Rattus norvegicus: one gene and its partners. Each later gene encodes a partner of the first gene's protein in a complex. Links are inferred from orthologs where the notes say so. Each region holds a gene or a part of one and is shown in the gene's direction. Other genes may lie near its edges.

What was found. Proteins that work in one complex are often made in the same cells at the same time.
Region 2: Tmem67 (region 1) and Tmem107 share a complex: the UniProt entries of both Homo sapiens proteins name them as parts of the tectonic-like complex. The link is inferred for Rattus norvegicus from reciprocal best matches to the Homo sapiens genes TMEM67 and TMEM107.
Region 3: Tmem67 (region 1) and Ahi1 share a complex: the UniProt entries of both Homo sapiens proteins name them as parts of the tectonic-like complex. The link is inferred for Rattus norvegicus from reciprocal best matches to the Homo sapiens genes TMEM67 and AHI1.

The regions. Positions count from the first base shown.
Region 1 is NC_086023.1:30,332,607-30,339,586, reverse strand, and holds the end of Tmem67 (meckelin precursor), read left to right. Parts: intron 1-1,968; coding exon 1,969-2,085; intron 2,086-2,183; coding exon 2,184-2,288; intron 2,289-2,944; coding exon 2,945-3,047; intron 3,048-3,770; coding exon 3,771-3,913; intron 3,914-4,677; coding exon 4,678-4,758; 3' UTR 4,759-5,794; downstream 5,795-6,980. UniProt on the Homo sapiens protein: Required for ciliary structure and function. Part of the tectonic-like complex which is required for tissue-specific ciliogenesis and may regulate ciliary membrane composition.
Region 2 is NC_086028.1:54,268,209-54,275,988, forward strand, and holds Tmem107 (transmembrane protein 107), read left to right. Parts: upstream 1-2,987; 5' UTR 2,988-3,118; coding exon 3,119-3,205; intron 3,206-3,382; coding exon 3,383-3,450; intron 3,451-3,508; coding exon of another isoform or gene 3,509-3,532; coding exon 3,533-3,633; coding exon of another isoform or gene 3,634-3,750; intron 3,751-4,466; coding exon 4,467-4,563; coding exon of another isoform or gene 4,564-4,758; coding exon 4,759-4,828; 3' UTR 4,829-5,312; downstream 5,313-7,780. UniProt on the Homo sapiens protein: Plays a role in cilia formation and embryonic patterning. Requires for normal Sonic hedgehog (Shh) signaling in the neural tube and acts in combination with GLI2 and GLI3 to pattern ventral and intermediate neuronal cell types.
Region 3 is NC_086019.1:17,579,184-17,586,823, forward strand, and holds the start of Ahi1 (jouberin), read left to right. Parts: upstream 1-2,847; 5' UTR 2,848-2,947; intron 2,948-3,307; exon of another isoform or gene 3,308-3,365; intron 3,366-7,640. UniProt on the Homo sapiens protein: Involved in vesicle trafficking and required for ciliogenesis, formation of primary non-motile cilium, and recruitment of RAB8A to the basal body of primary cilium.

The DNA.
Region 1 (6,980 bases):
GAAACCTGGGGAGATAAATGAAACAAAGATTGGCTAAAGGTTGATGATACTGAGACCCGAGCAAGGACACCCCAAAAAAGAACAAGGGGTGCTAAGAAGAAAGCCTTAGGGGTTCACTGAGCCCATATCTGCGACTTGGAGAATTGAGGAGCTAAACCCTCCCTTAGCTCTTAGACGCGACTGTGGGTTGAAAGGTTACCTGTAATAATTTAAGCCGTAAGCCCCTGGGAACAAAGATGACAACCGAGGAGTGCCATCAAAAGTGTACCCTTTGGAAAGCCTCAGGACGTGAGTAGTAATTCAGTTTAGTTTACTATCATAGGACATATATGTCAGTCACAATTACAAGATAGCAAATTAGGGTAAAGTGCATATAACTAATATGTCAGCGATATTGATATCTAAAACCATGGTGCTCCGTCTTCAACTTGCCATACTTCTGTGAAGCTAATGGTTAATAAAATGTGAACCGTAAGACAGGTGTTATCAGGAAGGTTTTTACAACTGGAAAATGTTTTGAGTAGTAAACGTCAGGAGATTCTTGGGACTCTCTAGTCTTAGACTGCTTATGTGAATTTTAACCCAAGGAAAATTCTTAGAGTCTAGATTTTTCCACAGGAAGAAAGCATGCAAACGTTTGAGAGGATTGTGTAGGCTGGTTTACCTTTACAATTAAACCTCTGAAGTTAGTGCTTAACTATTTTATATTAAAGATGGGAGTCCACTGTCCTCATGTCAGACAATGAGGACCTTCAGTGGCAATGACTTTGAAGGGGACAAGGAGGAGGATGCAGGCATAAATGTCTTGGAAAATGCCCAGCAGGACTAGGGAGCAACTGAAAGTCAGTGAGAGTCACTACTCCACACATGATCAAGTACTAGCAAGCCAGTGGGTGCTGGGTCCCCAGCCCTCCAGCTCTCCGAGTGTGCCCCGGGGATGGTGAAGCCTGAGCGGAAGGAGACCCTCGCAGTGAAGGAGCTCAAGGCCCAGAGGATTCCTGGCGTTGTCGGCTACCGACCAGATGGAAGCTACGAAGACTGGGGTCATCAGAACCGACTGAGCAGAGATATCAGACTGTGCCTGGCTGATTTTCCTATGCTGCCACTTTTTATATATAAATAAAAGTCATCCTTTCTACCTCCCCAAATGACTATGTATGTATGGAAAATTGCTCGGGATATGATGTTTAACAAAAAAAAAAGTGTAATTCCGAGTGTTGTCATTGTTGTTGTTGTTCTGTGTATGTTTGTGACTTAGAAAAGAGCTGGAAATGATGTGCTTTAATATATCCAGTCCAGATATTGAAATTTATAGCTGATCTTTTCTTGGTTCCTCTTCATAGTTTATGCATTCTTCATTCCCCACAATTTCCTATACTTTGTTAATTTAAATTTTTATTCAAAATAGAGAATCTCATATATATCTTCCTTTACATTTGTGGAAACCAAAGGCTGTCCTGCTCGCTGGGTGGGATCAGGCGAGAGAGAGTAGTAAGTTCTGAGAAGGAGTCACGGAGGCAGAATCTGACGGGCCGTGAGCCGTCAGTGGGAACTGGCTGGGCACTGAGCTACTGCAACAGTGAGTTCGTGTTCGTCGTGTATAGTCTGTGAGAAGGTATCCATACTTCCACTGTTCAGTCTTACAAACGTTAAAGAAGGTAAGGTCCTCGCGGTGAAAACTAAGGTACAAACTGTACAGTGAGCTCAGTGGTTTAGAGCAGAGTACAGGAGGTGACACCGCGACGACGGGGAAGCTGGAATGAGAGTGAAGTGACTGAGACCACAGATCTGTGGGAAACTGTGACCACAGTGAGAAACACTAGTGTTCGTCTCAAGTCCAGTATCAGCAAGATTCCATTAGATTAATAAATCTTGTAACGTGAACAAGCTGAAGAACTTTCTTTTTTTAAAAGGCCTTTTGCAATCATTTCTATCTTAATTTAAACCCTTAAATTTTTTGTTTTTTAGGAAAATTTGTGCAGTCAAAGAGGTTTGGTGCCCAACACAGATGGGCAGACGTTTCAGATTGCCGTTTCCAGTCAGATGAGACAGCACTATGACAGAATTCACGAGACATTAACAAGGGTCTGTAAAGTATTGCTCACGCGTATTTCACCATCCTTAGGTCATTTAAGTCCCGCATCAGGCGTGCTGTGCTTACACGTTTCTCTCCTGCATATTAGAGAAATGGCCCTGCCAGACTGCTGAGCTCATCAGGGAGTACCTTGGAACAAAGTATAAAGGCATACCACGCAATGAATAAGTTCCTCGGCTCTTTCATTGACCACGTATGTGTTTGGATGTCTGTCTGTCTGTAGCCAGGGTGGTCTGCTGGCTTTGAAAAGTTAAATGAGAATTCAGTTATATTTTCACTCAGCCGTGTCAGTGAACCCATGCTTTTCTGTCATCCTAACACATAGGAATATTTTTTTAAAAAGCATTTGCAGCCACTAACAACTTATGGTTTAAACATAAAGTTAGATTACATAAAGTTAGATTATCTAAAAGAAAAATGTGATTTTAATGTGACCATTAGCAAATTATGACTCCCTTTTATATGTCCCATAAAATTCTATTGTAGAACTTTATACTATACTAGAATTGTATGTCGCCAAAATGTTATCTCACATTGAAATCCTTACACTATGATTGTATTTTTAAAAAGCATCTTATAAATCAATTTTCAGATCTTAATTTTAAATTAAACTAAAATCTTAAAGATTTTCAGTCTTAAATTTAAGAATTCAAGATTTAAAATATTTCTAAAATAATTTTTAATATTTAAAATTAATATTTATTAGTTTAAATTCTAGCATAGTGATTCGTTTTATACAAGTTTTTCTTTGTATGTTATGTGTTCTCAGCTTTTGTAGTTCTAATTTTTCATTAATTAGAAAGCATTGACTTCACTACAGTTTTTTACATGACTGTCTTCGCAAACTAGGTTCATAAGGAAATGGATTACTTCATAAAAGACAAGTTGCTTCTCGAAAAGATCCTCGGGATGGAGTTCATGGAGCCCCTGGAGAAGAGCATCTTCTACAATGGTGACCCTCGTGTCCTTGCTGAGCTTGAGGCCTGTTTGGGGGAGACGGGGTGCTGGCAGTCATTCTTCCATTGATCTTTATGATTTCATATAGAAACGATGGGGACTTGATTAGGTCAGCCTAGTCAGATGGATTCTGAAGTGTGTGAACTGACCCAGTATGAAGGTAACGAGACAGGAAGAGGTGTCATTAAGGAACATAGCAGAGCAGCTCTGGGGAGGAAGAGGAGGCGAACATTCGGGTTTTGTGCTTGTTTACTTTCCATGGTGACAGGAAACTTCTCAGGTCTTTTAAGAAGGTGTTCAAATCCCCAAAAGGACAGAATTGTGTGTTGAGGCAGAGGACCAAACTGTAGGAAACTGACACAGGAAGCCCATGCTCGCACTGTGACTTAGATTCTTATCTTTTATTCTTTTCTTGGACACTATCTCTAAGATTAGTTTAGCTGTTAGCTCTATAAGCAGAGGACGAGGATTCAGTAACTGCTCCTTAAAGGTGTTCGTAGCATACGCACTCTGTAGCAATTATCAACATTTGCTTTGATGTTGAAACTCCTGCTTGTGGGTGTTTCTGCGTGCCCTGACTACCATTTTAGACTGGCAGTCTGAAGCACCTTCTACTTTAGTGTGAGCCAAGATGTACCTCATGTTTAATCTGCTGTGGCCGGGGGGTAGCACGGATCTTCTCTGTCACTGACTGACACATCTTCCATGGCTTTCCTAGATGAAAGTCATTCTTTCAGCAGTGTGCTGTATTATGGGAACGAGGCCACTCTCCTTATCTTTGATCTGTTGTTCTTCTGTGTCGTGGACTTGGCTTGCCAGAACTTTGTTTTAGCATCCTTCCTCACCTACCTGCAGCAAGAGGTAAGTAACAGCGTGTTCTGGTTTCTCCTAAAGCAGCCATGTTAGAAGTGAGGGTATGTATTTTCTCAACAGAATGTGAGAGCATCCACTTTGAGTAGGCTTGGTGAATGTTTAGATTATGATTAACACCGCCAAAGGAAAGAACCATTCAGCAGACCACACCGCACTCTGCCCCTGGGGACCATAAATGTTCAAGGATCCAGTGGAAGGAAAGTGGCTTTAATGCCTAGGAAGATACTTACATACCACCCGTCTCCCACATACCAAAAGTGAGCACGAATTTCCCTAAGTCCCATTCACACACAAGGAGCAAACACTGGGCATGTGGTTCAGGGCTGTACTCGATTGCACACGTCTCACTGTGGGGACCATTTCAAGAAATGGCAGCTGTGCTGGAAATGCCGTTATTGGTAGCACCCAAACACCCTCTCTCACGAAGGATAAATGAGTTTCTACATGGTGTATTATTCCTGGATTTAGAATCATAGCAAATTCTTCCCTTACCAGGGAGATGTTTTTGATCTTTCCATAGTTTTAGGAGTTAAATTCCTTAAGTATTTAAAAGTATATTCTTGCAAGCATGAGAAGTATGTATATAATTCATAAAAACATTTCCTAATATGTATATTTTAAAATAAATATATCTAGTAATTAAAGTATCTCATTCATGATATGAAGTGGTTGGGAAAATTAGCTAGTTTAATTTAGGTACTTTAAATTGATTTGCATATTTAATTTTCTTCTTAATTGTTTTGCTTTTCTAGATTTTTCGATTTATCCGAAATACAGTAGGACAAAAGAATTTAGCAACCAAAACACTAGTGGATGAAAGATTTCTGATCTAATCTGTGATGCAAAACCTGAGGACTCAGTATAATGGGGCCAAGCCGTGATGTCAGGCTATCTTTTGTAAAACTCGTAATACATATTATTCTTCCTTTTTTTATCTACAGAAAGATTTATTTTTATAGCTTGTAAAATATAAGATATAGTAGAAATACTATTTCCCCATTATGTGTTGTATTTAATTTACTAAATAATGCATTAACGCTGACCAGGAGGCGAACAAATAAACAACACAAAACAAAGCCAACCCCTCCCAATCCCACTTTCCATGCTTTCCCAGGCCTTGATGGCAAGCTAACCCCAGCACTGTCGTTTCAGAACAGGACCTGCCTGCTTTTCCTCACAGCTTAAATCTATTTTTCTAGGCTCAAAACTACTGTTCTGTTCAGTATTTTCACATTTTATTAATATTCGTGGTTAAATAAATTTTAAGAGGTATTTTCAGATTTAATTTGGTTCGCGTTACTGATGACTCTAATAGCTCACCCTGTCTGTCAGTAGGTGGGTCCGTCCCCACTAGACAAAGCATCCAGTCCTTTTATGTACCTGGTTCCTGATGTCATTACATTTGTTAAACTGGGTGATATTTTTCACAATATAGGATTTTTTCACGTACTTTGATATTTTAAGAGTACTTCTCCAAAGTGTTGCTTTTCAATTATGACTAAATATTACAAATAATAGACCATAAATATATCACCTTATGTTGACCAATTTATTGGAAGCAAACTTCGACTTCATGAGGCAGTAGCTTATTTTCTACTAAGGAAAATAAATGGATTCAAGATACTTTTACAGTAAATCCTGAACCATATAGTCGATCTTTTTCTATTTTCCCCTCAGTACACTCTTAAGTGTGTCTTTTCATGGTGTGTCATAGACTTGGAGAGCCCTGGTGCTGCTGATGATTGCCACACCCCCAGACAACGTGTCTGCTTCTCACAATGATGCTGTGTAACATGTAAACGCAGTGCTGTGTACATACTGTATATACCTGTGAATTGAAAATAGATAATAAAATATTTTACATTGCTATTTCCTGTTTGATCTGTGTCTGCCAGAAGAGCTAGCACTCAGGAATGCAGTGCTCTTGGGGCAGGGTGTCCAGCCGCTGCCCAAGCTGGATCTTTCGTTTTGTGGATGACTGAACAGAACAGGGAAGGAGAAAAGGTTAAGTGTCTGAAGGGCCTCAGAACAGGGATGTCTTTATAAAAACGACAGAGGTGAATAAATGAAGCAGCATGGAGTTTTAAAACCACCTACATAGAAGCAATTCAACCTTCTTCCCTCAGTAAATAGTTACTACCAGGGTAAATGCTTTAAATATATTTCAGAAGTCAGGATCCGGCGCTGCACTTGCTGAGGATGAAAAGGGAAAATACTGTGAGGTATTTAATTAGGTTTTTTTCCTTAATACCTTGTCACACCTGTGTTCCTGTTTGCCAAAGGATGGCAGCCATTTCTCAGTGCCTCTGATGTACCGGCTGGGTTTGCGTGTCAACTTGACACAAGCTGGAGTTATCACAGAGAAAGGAGCCTCCCTTGAGGAAATGCCTCCATGAGATCTGGCTGAAAGGCCTTTCTCAATTAGTGATCAAGGCGGGAGGACCCAACCGGTAGTCTACAACTGGTGCTGTTCCTTGGCTCGTGGTCCTGGGTTCTATAAGAAAGCAAGCTGAGCAAGCTAGGAGAAGCAATCCAGTAAGCAGCACCCCTCCATGGCTTCTGCGTCAGCTCCTGCCTCCAGTTTCCTGCCCTGTGTGAGTTCCAGTCCTGACTTCCTTTGGTGATGAACAGCAAAGTGGAAGTGTAAGCTGAATAAACCCTTTTCTCCCCAACTCGCTCCCTAGTCATGGTATTTCATTGCAGCAATAGAAACCCCGACTAAGACACCTACTTTTTTTTAAGTCCTGTGCTCCCTAGAGTGCATGGTTTTCCCTTGCTATGTTTTCTTTTGTTTGTTTTCTTTTGCTTTGTTTGTTTGTTTGTTTTCTGTAGCACCTTTAACAGTTTCACCCACTTTCTAGCAGCCCTGGCTGTATCGTCACTCCTGCCACTCCACAATGAAACAAATCCTAGAGGGCTCTTTAAACTGCTGTGTACTTTGTATCCTTCTTGTGGGCAATCGCCTAAAATCCTTGTATAAACAGGCTTCTGCCATTGGAGAAATTCAGACTGGGGGCCACACAGGTCTCCATGAGTTTTCACTCAGTGCTTTCAA
Region 2 (7,780 bases), on another chromosome or scaffold:
TACCTTTTTTTTTTCTTTTTTTCGGAGCTGGGGACCGAACCCAGGGCCTTGCGCTTGCTAGGCAAAGCGCTCTACCACTGAGCTAAATCCCCAACCCCCTTACTATGTACCTTACAGACCTGTCTGCCTCTGCCTCCTGAGTGCTGGAACTAAAGCTATGAGCCACCAGGCCTCACAATTTCTTTTAAATATTGTGTATAAGTGTGTGCATTGAGTGTGAGTCTGTGTGTGTGTATGAATGTGTGTGTGCATTGAGTGTGAGTCCGTGTGTGTGTGTTTGTGTATGTATGAACGTGTGTGTATGTATGAATATGTGTGTGTGCATTGAGTGTGAGTCCGTGTGTGTGTTGAGTGTGGTGTGTGTGTTTGTGTGCATTGAGTGTGAGTCTGTGTGTGTGTATGCATGCGTGTGTGTATGAGTGTGCTGTGTGTGTATGAGTGTGTGTGCATTGAGTGTGTGTGTGAATGTATGTGTGTGCATTGAGTGTTAGTTCGTGTGTGTATGTATATGAGTGTGTGTGCATTGAGTGTGAGCCCGTGTGTATGTGTGTGCATTGAGTGTGAGTCTGTGTTGTGTGTTGAGTGTGTTTGTGCATTGAGTGTGAGTCCATATGTATGTGTGTATGAGTGTGTGTGTGCATTGAGTGTGTGTTGTGTGTGTTTGTGTGCAGCTTCCAAAAGCGGGCACCGAATCTCTAGAGTTACAAGAGGTTGTAAGCAACACAATACGGGTGCTGGGAACTGAATTTAACAAGAGTGTTCTGTGATCTTTGTTTCAACAGAGGATTTCTCTGTGTAGCCTTGGCTGTCCTGCTTTGTAGAGCAGGCTCGCCTCGAACACAGAGATCTGACTGCCTCTGCCTCCTGAGTGCTGGGATTAACACCTGGTGCTGGGATAACCACTGAGCCACCTCTACAGTTTGTTTGTAAAGTCATTTTAGTTCTTTGTTTTATTGAACCGACTAACTGAGCACGATCTCGAATTTCTGACCCTCTTTCCTCTACCTCCCAAGTGTTGGGACTGTAGGTGTTTTCCCCTTATCCAGCTTAAGATTCATATTTATATGAAAAAGTTACTATAAAATTTCACCATGTAGGAGCTCGGTAGGAAAGCAGTTTTTTCGTGTGGTCCAGACTCTGCATTTGATTCCCAGTGCAGCACAGGCAGAAGTTTCAATATAAAGGGGGAATTTCAATAAATAAGAACATTTAATGCTACAAATGACTTAGAATGCCACTCTATGCATCGATGAAGATATACTATAAGACTCAGAAGGGAAAGTGGAAGTATAGCTCAGTGGAGGGTGCTTACCTATTACCTATATGCAAAAGCTTATCTCCAATACTGAAGAAAAGAATCAGGACATTGGGGGTGGAGAGATGGCTCAGCAGTTAAGAGCACTGACTGCTCTTCCAGAGGTTCTGAGTTCACAGCAACCACATGGTGGCTCACAACCATCTATAATGGGATCTGATGCCCTCTTCTGGTGTGTCTGAGGACAGCTACAGTGTATTCATATATAATAAATAAAAAATTAAAAAAATCTACGTTGTTGTTATTTAAGTTACAAATACTATACTGTTTGTCAAACATTCCACCAGTCTTTTATAATGAAAGTGTGAGTGTGTGTGTGGGTGGGGGGTGTCTTTTGTCTGGTTTGGGATCTCATGTTAGGTTAGGTTTATCCCCCACTCAGTGGGAAGAACTCCAGCCTGTCTTTCATGACCTTTAAGTAAAAAACGTTGACTCTGCATTCTAAATGTTTTTACTCACTGGTTTAGGTAAGGGGACCCCATGTATTACTTTAGGGAGACAGAAACATTTCCTCTCTCTCTCCCCCTCCCCCCAATTCCTTGAAACGAAAATTTAGGAATTATCTATTTCAAAACTTTCCTTTGATATTATTCTAGTGTCACCCTTTAAAGTTTTTAAATTTACAGCATACATTACCTTGCAGGGTTTTGTTGGGGTTTTGTGTGTGTGTGTGTGTGTGTGTGTGTGTGTATTTGTTTGTTTTGTTTTGTTTGTTTGTTTTGTTATCAGTCTCTCTGCCTAGAATATAAACTGGAGGGACTTTATCGATGTATTCTGAGTCAAGCACAGTGCCTGGCATCTGGGAGACATCAGATATTTGTTGAATGAATGAAATCCCTCTGGGTCTTGTCTTTTAGGCTGGTTTAGAGGCACACACACACACACACACACACACACACACACACACACACACACAGAGAAATGAGAGAAGAGGGGGTGCAAAAGGAGGAGGTTCATTGTCAATGGGACTTGATTGTGAACTGGGATGGTAGTGAGAACTTTCCGATCGCAGGCATTTCATCCGAAGCCCCAAATCAGTCACATCACCCTAAGAAGAGGTTCTGGGTCTGTAACTGAGCAATGTCCGCGGCCTGGCAACTCAAAGCGAGAGTGAAATCGGTGGTGAATCAGCCTGGTTTAAGCCTCCCAGGGGCGCACAAGCTGTTCTAGTCCCCCACTCCATTCTTCACCTTTTCAGATCCCTTGGGATCCCGAGGAGGCTGTCACCTCATCCACCCACATCCTATTCTACCCATTCCAAGGTTGCTCATTTCTGCACTCGGCAAATCTTTCATGAAACCGAGACAAGTTATTTAGGGAGAAATTAGAGTCGTTCATCGGCAGAGGTTTGGTCTTGGGTGGGAGAGGGAGCCCTCTGACAACCAGGGGCTGTGGGGGGGGGGCGGGGAGGGCTTGGCGAGACTGTGGGGCAAAGCTCGGTGCTGAAGCTCTACTCCTTCGTTCCCTCATCTCCTGGCGCCCAAGGCAGTGAGTGGGAAGCACAGGAAAAGGGAGGATTTGGTGGTTACGGGTGCATCCTCCCGGATTCATCCCACAAGCACCAGGAGGTGAGCATCGGCTCGGGTACCTGGCCTATAGACATCTGCAGAGGGCGCAGCACTATCGCGAGACTTCCGGAGGCAGCTGCATGGCGCCTGAGGACGCAGTTACCATGGCAACCGGGCGGCGCCTGAGCACGCGGGAAGGAGGCTTAAGTAGAGAGGTCTGGCCTGCTTGCTCTGGGAGACTTGATGAGTGACCCTCCTCAGACTTCTACGGCCTCCGCTTTGGGCCCCCGAGGCCATGGGTCGGATCTCCGGGCTCGTGCCCTCTCGATTCCTGACGCTCTTGGCTCATCTGGTGATTGTCATCACTTTGTTCTGGTCCCGGGTAAGACGTGGACAGGGCGCGCGCGCGTGTCTTCTTGTCCCTCCCATTCTCACCTTAGAGTGGACCCAGCTCAGCTCAGTCCACTCCCACAGACCCACACTGGGTCCGTTGCTCCCGTCCCCCGCAACCCCATCCCTCTTTTGACATTTCTTTCTTTCTTTCTGCCCGGCTCACCAGGAAAGCAACATCCAGGCTTGCCTGCCTCTCAAGTTCACCCCGGAGGAATATGAGAAGCAGGACAACCAGTGAGCTCTTGGGGCGGGGTGAGAGTGCCAGGGTCTTCTACGCAATCCGGAAACCCAGGTCCATCACCCTTTCTCTCTGCAGACTGGTAGCAGCGCTCTGCCTCACCCTGGGCCTCTTTGCAGTGGAGCTGGCTGGCTTCCTCTCAGGAGTCTCCATGTTTAATAGCACCCAGAGCCTCCTCTGTATCCTTTCTGCCTGGCCAGCGTCCCCATGCGACATCATCACCACTCACTCTTTCCACTTCTGTAGGCCTTTTGGGCACAAGTCTCTGCCCTACGTGGCAAAGCGAATCTCTCTAGGTGAGAGGTTTTAGACAGTTTTGGGGAATTAATAGACTTCAAACCTTAAACCCTGATGTGAGCCAGGTTCTGGCGATCCATGAGTGGGAGTAAAACCACTTTATCCTGTTTGAGGAAGAGATGGATAAACATCTGTAAATCAGTGTGATTAAACAGTATTCTGTAGGAGTGTGCAAAATACAAACCATTGTGGGAACTCAAAAGGGACCAAGAAAATGAGACACATAGGAAGGTTCTCGATACCCGGGTGTGATGTTGCAAACCTTTAATCCTAGCACTAGGGAGGCAGGAGCAGGTGAATCTCTAAGTTCGAAGCCAGCTTGGCCTACATAGTGAGTTCCAAATCAGCCAGGGCTACATAGAGAGACCCTGTTTTTTAAAAAAAAAAAAAAAAAAAAAAAGATAGCCGTTGACTCTGAGTTGTGGACAAGGAGGACCAGAGCACTGGAGAAATTCCCACAGTGTATCAGACCTGTAGGTATTCTTGTGAGGCCTAGGGCATATGTGACATTAACTCCCAAAAGTGTACAGGGAGAGGTCCTATCAAAACAAACTCAGCTCTGGCCTCTTACACATAAGTGTCCACAAATTCAGAAGGCATGGCTGCCAACTCTGGTGTTTGTCTTAAGGGAAGGGAACAAGCTGAGCCCAAGTCCGAGTACTAAAGGGACCCATCACTTACCTATTATTTTCCTTGACTCTGCTGTATTTTTAAGCCATTGCAGCCCACTGTAGCGCGTCTGTGGCCCTATCTTTCTTCATATTCGAGCGATGGGAATGTACCACGTACTGGTACATTTTTGCCTTCTGCAGGTTATTTTGGAATGGAGGGTGGTGGAAAGTCTACCCCAAATCTGAAGGTTTCCCCCACCTAGACCTTTCCTGCACATGTGAAATTGGTAGAGTTTTAAAGAGTCGTACCCATCCGCTAACCCACTCACATATAAGGCTTGGAGGTTTGAGTGTTTGGGTCGGAAGGGGCTCTAAACCCACCCCCTACTTCCACAGCGCTTTTCCAGCTGTCACTGAAACTGCGTTATTCATCGCTGTCTTTGGGCTGAAAAAGAAACCCTTCTGATCACAATCCGATGAAGAGACCAAAGCCGGAAACGTGATGAACTCCCTCCCATTGCTGGAAGAAGAAAGGGAGAGGCTTCAGTTTTCTCTCGCCCTAGTCTTTTGCTCCTCCCAACTGCGTCTAAACAGAAAATGGCAATGTTGGGATAAGATCTCACAAATCTTGGGTTATAATTTTATTAGAGTTTTGTAATAAAATTCATTTTATAATAAGAGCAAGGCTTAGACTATTTGTCAGAAGACCATTGGGTAAATCAAAAGGCTGATGTAAATAAAGGCTTTTTTCTAGCCTTCTGTACGTGAGCTAGTAGCTTATGCTTCTATTTGGATTTTTACGGTACAAAATAGGCGGAAGTGAGTGGGCGGGAATATGTAAATAAGAACCTCACATAGGGCTTCTAATTTGCTGTATGTGAGCGGAGCATTATGGGAGAACTTTGTTTCTCTCTTTCTGCGCCGAATGGAAAAATAAAATATTTCAGGCGACTTGCAAATAGATATTGCTCTTGAGTTGCAATAACTATAAGTCATTGGGTTCGTGCTAAATTGTCATATTCTCACCCTTTCTTTAATATGGAATGTCTTTACTTAATTAGGAATGGGCTCCCTTTGTCCTTTATCGTCAGGAGGTTAATCCTTACCTGTTCCTCCTCTCGGAGGGCAGATAGAAAATGATGATTGGAGCTTGCATGATCTGCTGATTAGCATTTCCGTGTAATCAGGACCTGACAACATCCTGATTGCTCCTATCTGATTCTCTGACGATCATATTTATTTCGCATGTACTGACTGATAGAATTTAGGAATTTTGTCCTGTGCTCCTGAAATTTCTCCTAACACTGGTCAGAGCCATGACTTTAAGGTGCTTTTAGTAATTGTGTATATGACTGACTGATTGCTCAGACCTTATTTCTATGACAACAAGTGCCTTGCTGCTGATTGTTTGCCCAGCTTCTAGAAAGCACTCTAGGCTCGGTGTGGGGAAAGCAACCTTGGCCCCTCCTCATGCTTACCAGGAGATCCTTTCTGATGAGGCCTTAACCCTTATGACCTAAAGCGTCTCTTGCCTTCATCCCCACATTTCAATTCAATGACCTCCTTACCGTAGGCAAAGCCCTATTAACAATACTGAGAAAATAGATGTGATATGACCTATACTCAGCTTTGGGCATATAGAGACATTTCCCAGCACTCCCAGACTTGTTTAATCCTGTAAATTGTGGTACATGCTACCTCCCCTTCACCCCCCAAAAAAGAAAGATTTTAGGAGTTTAGTAGCAAAGCTTGAAGTTGTAACTTGAGAGCCACCAAAATGTTACATATGTCTCAGCTATTGCTCAGAAACTTAACTACAGCTCTGTGAGAAGCCCACACCCACACCCTTGCATGTGTCTTACTGAACTTGGAAAAAATTACTTTTTCCGGGAGCTTTACTGACAGGTTGCCAAACATAACTCTTATTTAAATTAAGCAGTGTGAACTTGCGATTAAGCAGGTTATATTTACACTGGAGACACAGCTAGCTCACCAGTGAGTGTATACTTGCTGTGCCTTGAGGCCCTCGGTGAAATCCTCAGCATTAAAAACTTAAAGAAGCCAGAACCGGTGATCATGTCCACAATCTCAGCACTCAGCATGCAGAGGCAGGAGCGCCACCCACAAGTGAATTCCACCCAGCCAGGGCTGCAGAGTAAGACCCTTTTCCCCCAACAAAGCAAGAGGACCTTGCTGCCCCTTGTAAGGATGGACAAATTGGCCCAGCTCTTGAGGTCCCCGCTGCATTCCTCCAGCATCAATGCTGTGAAGAGGGCGGTAGTTGAGCAGCTCAGGATGGAGGCTGAGCCCAACCTGAGAAATTCCCCAAGCAGCTGCAGGCTTGAAGCAGTTCTGTCAGCCGAACGCTGAGCACTATCCTCTGTTAACCGAATTGTCAAGTACAGATCCCTTTGACCCCAGAACATCTGCTCCTTTTTGTAGGCAAATCTCTCAAAGCTTTCTCAAAACACTTTTATAAGCAGTGAATTTAAGAGAGCTGAGTGCGAAGCCTGTACAAAGTTTTCTTATAACTGTCTCCTGGTTGTCAGTCCATCTCATCTACCTCGGAAATGTCACTGGCTTCTGTTTCCCAAGGTTATATGTACACGGGCTGTATGGCTTTATATACACATACAGGCTCACTTCAGCAGCACAGATACCAAAACTGGAGGACACAGAGGGTTCCGGTAGCCTCTGTGCAAGGGCAATACATTCCTCAAGCATTCCTTACCTTTCAGTGACATGTTCCTGTAATTTAAAGACACTACATACACATGTGGTGGGAAGGTAGATGTCTAAAACTTGGACAATTAAAAATATCACAATTAGGGGTTGGGGATTTAGCTCAGTGGTAGAGCGCTTGCCTAGCAAGCGCAAGGCCCTGGGTCCGGTCCCCAGCTCCGAAAAAAAAGAAAAAGAAAAAGAAAAAGAAAAAAACCACAATTAAACATGAGCTGGCTCCCCTAAAAAAATAAAATAAGTAAAAAATTTAAAAAGGTAATAGAAGTCTGGAAGGATATCGCACATCTTTAATCCCAGTATGGCTCTTTTTCAAAAAGAGAAAAGAAAGGAAGAAAGAAAGAGAAGATCAGGCAAAGGTTACATCAGTGTGGATTAGTCCTAAGATTGTTGGAACTGTGTTACATTGAAATCAGCATAATCCATTCAACAAGAAGTCATTCAGGTAACCCAGAAACCTCTACCTTCATGGTTTGTGTCTTATTCATACAAATACACAAAAGTGGCTAATAATTTCATAGAACTTTTTGTTCTGTTTTTCAAGACAGGGATTCGCTGTGTAATCTTGGCTGTCCTGGAGCTAGTTCTATAGACCAGAGTGGCCTCAAACTTACAGAAACCCACCTGCCTCTGCCTCACAAGTGCTGAGGTTAAAGATGTGTGCCAAAAATCATCACAG
Region 3 (7,640 bases), on another chromosome or scaffold:
TCATTAGGATAGGTCCTAAGCTAATATGACAGTACCCTTAGAAGATATTTGGACACAATCAAGTGGAGTGGTGGCAGACCATGTGAAGACATGGAAAAGAAAAAAAAAAGCTGTCTTTGAGTCAAGGAGAGAAATCCTGCAGGCACATCCGTTCTGAACGTCTAACTTCTAAAAACGAAAACACGACTTCCTATTCTTTAAGTCACCCAGCATGTGATGGGTTAATTATGATGCCTCTTCCCAGGTGGGGTTTGATGTTGATATTTGCTTGACTACTTGTACTAATTTTCATCACCACACCAGTGTCAAGGTTTTTCTCCCCCCCCCTTATAACAAAGGTACACTTAATGGGCAACTTAGTTTGTGAATATTAATAACATTATAAACTTCTTACCCTCTGGCTTAGCATATAGTAATTTTTCTAAATGAGTGATTCTTATAATAGTTGTCACATGGTGATATTTCTGCACATACTATTCCTTCTATATTAGTTGGAATTTTAATTTAAAGAAGAATTCTTTCGAGTTTACAAAATACTCTTTTATTTCACTGTGGCTTTCAGTATTCTTATTTTGCGCACTCGAACATGATTGTACAGGTGCTTAGTTTGAGCCGTCTATAGTCAGCTGTGGCCTTTTCAAGATGACTTCTGGCAATCTCTGATAAGTTTCATCATCCTTAATTTCTGTCACAATTTTTTTTTTCAATTCCATTTCGTACATGGTCTGTTCCTGTTCTAGAATTAAGTGCTTCTCCAAGGGGCCCTAGTTCTTTGAAAGGAGAATGGTGCTCAAGAAGCCAAGGTCTTGTATGTACTGCATGTTCGTTCATCCTACCATCCCACTTCCAGCTCCAGTCAACAGACAAAACTGGGGAAAAACTATAGAGCAGTAGACACATAGGTCATTTTACCCAGAGATTCTTTGCAACCAAAAATAGCTGTACACGTTGTCAGGCTTTAAATGTCACTTCTGCTAGAAAGACTGCCTTATTCCACACTATACCTCTGCAAATACTATATATATATATACATATACATATACATATATATATATATACTCAGCTGTTACAAAAATGGGGACCAAAACGGTTACTGGCATGGATGTCAGCCAATTGTGTCCTGAGAATAATACCTAAGGCAGAATAAGCAACCAACATTACAACTGTGAAATTGGGAGTTCAAATGTTAAGAGTATACATGATGAAGGGTACAGAAGGCAAAAGGCATAGCTCTGGGAGCGCATAATTCATCGAATATCTGTTCACTAAATACCATTTGATACTCCTTAACATGCTGCGGGTGAAAAAATTAAAACCCGATGAAAATGTTTAGAATCAGAACACACAGTCTAATGAGGTGAGCATATTGGGACTGCTCAGAATATTTAATAGGTAACTTACTAAGATTCACAGAAGGGACACGACTCCGAAAGGATTTTCAAGAGAGGGCAGTATGTACGAGGGTCATGGCAGAAAAGGGTGTAAATTGGCATTGCATACATAATTCAATATTGCATAAAGTTATGTGCAACATACAATTCGATGTTGCTTATTTCATGATGTACGTAATTCAAAAAAAATGTGTAAAACTGAATAAAAGAAGGTAATGAGAGAGTAACCCCAGGGAGAGGGAGCATCCGTATCCATGGCAACGTGATGAGATTGTTCTCGTTTGAAGTAATTTTCAAAAGAGGGTACCAGTAGCGTTACCAGCTTCACATTAATAAGGTTAGTCTGGCACTGTTGGGAAAGAAAATTCGAAGTCAAAACTGGAGTCAGGACACAGGTAGTGAGGCCAGTTCCCGCGTAAGAAAGACTGGCAGGTTGCCTTAGGTAACCGTAATGGATAGGCTTTGCACTAGGGACATTAAAGATAGGTTTGGTAAAACCCTGCAGGGATGGAGGTAGCTTAAATCAAGATAGGTTTAGAGGAGGGGATTTTGAGGGTTTTTTTGAATGACAAACTCAGCAGCTCAACATGCAGGCTTTATATTGGTGACATTTCCCGTGGTCTCCTCATTGCATTTTGAGACCCTGACGAGATGTGTTTTGTTAGGTCTGATACCAGTCAGAACGGAAAAGCTGGCCTCCGGACAATCACGCAATACTGTCGCCATACAAAGGAGCCACAGGTTGTGTGGGAGGGCAGCAGCCGAAAATGGCGTCTGATTCTGAGGGAAATGATGCACCTCGTATTTTTCCACTCTGGGTGACTCACAAGCCCAAGATGGCGCCTGAAGCGGAAGTGAGGGGGCGTTGGAAAGTAAATGTGGCGTAATCCCTTTTCCACACTGTAAACTCGGGCGCCTGAGGATTTGTCTGCAGCAGGGATCCCCATTCACATTTAAAGGCGCGTCTCATTTTGTGGGGTGACGAGTCTTTCTCGGCTGTGCTGCCTCATTCGCTCACTCGCCCATCCATCCATCCATCCATCCATCCATCCATCCATCCATCCATCCATCCATCCATCCATCCACTCGTTCCCGTATCTACGCCGGACGCGTCACCTCCCACCTATGTCCCCCCCCCCCCCACACACACACACACACTCTCCTTCAAGCTCTGAGTGACCGCGCTTTGCCCGCGGCGAGAGCCGACAGGTTTCACTAGCGGGAGACGTGCACTCGGGACTCGCTTCCGGCGCTGAGGGCGGAACTCAGCCTCCGGCCGGGTGCGCGCGCCCGCCGGACCCCGGAAACGCGCTCCGGAGGCTGGGTAGGGGGCGTGGCCGTGGTCAGGCTGGCATCTTCTGCCCGGCGACTCAGTTACCTAGGTAACAGCGGCAGAGGCGGGCCTGACGTCACGGGCGGCGCGCCTCCCGCACTGCGACACTGGGCTGACTGGACAGCGTGCGTGGCCAGCGGTCGAGCGGGTTGAGCTGCTGCTTCCCTAGCCCTTGCCTGGGCGCAGGGAGCCGCTTCGCGTCGTCCGGCTGTCTCTCCTTTCCGTGAGTATCCGGCAGGCGCACTGTAGTGGGGGCCGAGGCCTTCCCTGTCCCTGGGGGGGACGGCGATGAGACTGTCGAAGACCCGGGGATGCGCAAAGGGACTCCCGGAGGCTTTTGGATGCTCGCAAGCGGGCTGCTGGAGGCGGGGGATGCCCGCGAGTGGCCTCTCTTTTGCTTGTCCCGGCTGCCTTGCACAGTGCTCTGACCGACAGACACAGCCTTCGCCTTCCCATCGGGGTTCAGGGGCTTAAATGCCCCTCGAGCTGCTGCGTGTTTCCTTGTAGATTGACAGTCAGGTGCGCAGTGACAGGCTGTCTTCATTACATCTAAGTACAGTAATTGATTACGTTTCAATTGTAGGCTCATCCCAATGCCTAAAGCCCCCCGAAACGGAGGCTATCCGGGAATCTACTAAATGGTAAATTCTGCCTTTATTGTAACTGTGTAAACGTCGTAGAAACGTTTCCTCTGTGATTTTGTTTTGTTTCGTTAAAGCAAAAAGATGCCAGCAAGTATTTCACCTGTTGCGTAACCAATTACTTGCGCTCTCGGGAGAAGAAAAGGGAATATTTAAAAGGATATTTGCAGCAAATTCAAATGCAAAAAGAATTTTTAGCAATATTTACAATATTATTTATTTATGGGACTATGACAGATTTATTGATTGAATTACACAAACATGGCTTTTTGTTCTTTTTCTTTTGTTATGAAAATTTGCTACAGAATCCTTGTCTAAGTGTGCCCACTTCTTTTCTTTTTTTTTTGCATTGATGTGTAAGCACATACTCCATGTTTTTCAGAAGGGGGGAGGAAACGTAATCCAGTTAATTTTTCTGCGCAGTCTCTCTAAGAACCTCCCATGTTTTTGATGGAAAGACTTTTGATGAATATAGTGATGTCTAATACTGTGCATGCTAATTTTTTAAAAAATTGTTTTGTAAAATGACATCTACAAAATTAGGGATGTTTTATTAAATATAATCTAAATACACATTATAAAATTATACAATATAAATTATGGTGATGTCATTAATCAGATATAAGTTACTAATTACTGTGTTTTCTGTAGTATGCATTAACATTAAAATGATTCTTTCGTTGTGATGTTATCATTAAATATTACTGTTTACTCAGTTATACCTCAAAATTTCAAATATTACATCATTAACTATACATTTAATATTTTATTTCTTATCTATTTGTTAAATGGACATAAAGTCATTTTACTGAGCACCTGTGATGTGCATTATTATTTTTTCATTTATCTTGCCCTCCTATCAATATGTAAGTGCTGCTTACTGATGCCACCCACGCATTAAAAAATCCAGGGCCTAATGAAGTTAATACTTCATCCAAAGCCATTTATCAAAATAACAGTACTAGAACCTTTGTTTCAACTGAGAGTCACGAAATCAGCCCTTCAACAATATGTGTGTGTGGTGTACATGGGCACAAGCAACAAACATTTCAAGGACATGAGAATGTGTGCTTATGTGGAGAGGAGGAGGGGACGTGCCTGTGTGTGGAGGGCACACACACACACACACACACACACACACACACACACACACACACACACGCAATCACACCCAGCATCCAATCCAAGCGCGAGAACGCGAGAGCATGTAGGTGGGGGAGGGGATGTGAGGGGTGCGCGTGCACATTCACATGTGTGTATGTGTGTGTCTGTGTGTCGTATGTTCACCCGCACAATTATGTGAGCTCTTCAGCACTCCAGCACGCAAGAACGCACAAGTGTGTGTTTGTGCACTGGATCACGGGCTGCCCGCGGGCACGCCCGCGAGCACGCACACGGGCACGCGCGCAGGCTTGCGCGCACGTACACACATCTGCGTCTGCGCATCGGTTCAGGTTCCCAGCTTCAGGCTTGGTAAAGGCTTACTAGAGGTATTTCACAATACTTGCATTGGGCTTCCTCACAAAGATACATGTTAAAATCAGCAGGGAAACAGCACATGGGGCTCAGCCCATAGGAATCCTATTACAATGGCTGTAGCAGTCCCAACAATGGAGGAACGATCCTCTTTCACCTCCTCGCCAGCATCTGCTGTCACCTGAGTTTTTGATCTTAGCCATTCTGACTGGTGTGAGGTGGAATCTCAGGGTTGTTTTGATTTGCATTTCCCTGATGACTAAGGATGTTGAACATTTCTTTACTTTTTAATAGTCACATGCAGAGGTCTGGTTCGTTTCAGCTCCTTCACTGCCAAATACATGGGGTAGAGACTGCTTCAGCTTCTCTGCCTTCTCCTTGTTTGTGATAACCAGGGAGTGAAGGTACTACTGCAGCGAATTGAATTTCGAATTCTCCTTGTTCTTTTTTATCTTGACAGATTTGGTATCCTTCCGCAGGGCTGTGAGTAGAAGGTCTTTGCTTTCCTCAATTTTCCGAGGCATCTGACCTCAGCACCTGCCCCCCAAAAAACCTCACTGAACATTTTTTTTTGTGCATTTCTTTAGGTGCTTCCTTGCCATTCAATATTCCTCAGCTGAGAATTCTTTGTTTAGCTCTGTACCCCATTTTTAAATAGAATTATTTGGTTCTCTGGAGTCTAACTTCTTGAGTTCTTTGTATATATTAGATATTAGTCCTCTATTGGATGTAGGATTGGTAAAGACCTTTTCCCAATCTGTTGGTTGCCATTTTGTCCTAATGACAGTGTCCTTTGCCTTATAGAAGCTTTGCAATTTTATGATGTCCTACTTGTCGATTCTTGATTTTAGAACAAAACCACTGGTGTTCTGTTCAGGAAAATTTCCCCAGTGCCCATGTGTTCCAGGCTCTTCCCCTCTTTCTCTTGTGTTAGTTCAGGCTTTATGGGGAGGTCCATGATCCACTTGTACAGGGCAATAAGAATGGATCAATTTGCATTCTCCTACATGGTGACCTCCAGTTGAACCAGAACCATTTGTTGAAAATGCTATCTTTTTTCTATTGGATGGTTTTGGCTCCTTTGACCATAGGTGAGTGGGTTCATTTCTGGGTCATGAATTCTATTCCACTGATCTACCTGTCTGTCTCTGTGCCAATACCACACAGTTTTTATCACTATTGCTGTGTAATACTGCTTGAAGTCAGGGATGGTGATTTCCACAGAAATTCTTTTATTGTTAAGGATAGCTTTCCCTATCCTACGATTTTTGTTATTCCAAATGAATTTGCAAATTGCTCTTTCTAACTCTATGAAGAATTGAGTTGGAATTTTGATGGGGAATGCATTGAATCTGTAGATTGCTTTTTGACAAGATGGCCATTTTTACAATATTCCCTGATTTCTTTCTCAGTCTGTTTATCCTTTGAGTAGAGGAAGGCTACTGATTTGTTTGAGATAATATTATACTCTGACACTTTGCTGAAGTTGTTTATCAGGTTTAGGAGTTCTCTGGTGGAACTTTTGGGGTCACTTAAATATACTATCATATCATCTGCAAATAGTGATATTTTGACTTCTTTCTTTCCAATTTTTCTTTCCCTTTGATCTCTTTTTGTCTAATTTCTCAGTCTGACTGTTCCTCAGGAAATTGGTCATAGTACTACCTGAGGATCAAGCTATACCACTCCTAGGCATATACCCAAAAGATGCTCCAACATATAACAAGGACACATGCTCCACTATGTTCATAGCAGCTGTATTTATAATAGCCAGAAGCTGGAAAGAGCCCAGATGCCCTTCAACAGAGGAATGGATACAGAAAATGTGGTACATCTACACAGTGGAGTACTACTCAGCTATTAAAAACAATCACTTCATAAAATTGTTAGGCAAACAGATGGCATGAGAAAAATATCCTGAGTGAGGTAACCCAATCACAAAAAAATACACAAGATATGCACTCACTGATAAGTGGATATTAGCCCAAAATCTCAGACTACCCAAGATACAATTCACAGATCATATGAAGCTCAAGAAAAAGGACAACCATAGTGCGGATGATCAGTCCTTCTTAGAAGAGAAATAACAGGGACAAAGAGTGGAACAGAGACTGAAGGAAAGGTCATCCAGAGACTGCCCGACCTGGGGATCCATCCCATATAAGTATTAGAATGGAATTAGAGAACACACTGGGTTAGGAATGATGCAATTCCCCTCTACTGCCAAAGCAATACATTTCTCTGTGGCTTTTTCATACAAACTTAGTTTTTGTTGACTCTACTCTCATGTCCACTCAAACCTTTTTATCTTTGGTATCCCCCTACTTAATATTTGATATGTTTGACTGTCTCCTTTTTTGTGCTTATATCCCTTTCCTGACCCTATGGCTATTTCATGTATCCTACCATCAGATACTCCAACGTAAATACACATTCTAATTATTCAAAGCTAGGGTCTGCATGTATGGGGAATTTACAGTCTTTGTCTTTTCTGGGCCTCTTACCTCAATTAGTATGTTTTCCTATTCCTTCCATTTTCCTGTAAATTCCATTTTCTAATGGCTGAATAAACTTATCATCATAATGTTGATTATGTTTTAAATTCTTAGAGAATTTCTCTAATTTATTTTCTACCTGATAATAAATCTTTTATAAATTTTAGACTTTTACTGTTTTTTTTTATTAAAAATTCTCTTAAACAATTTTGTAAGAGCTATGTACTTATTTGTTACAACTTTCTGATTAATTCACTGATACAGTTGGGAAGAAATTGGAGGGTGACATTTCTGTTAGACTTGG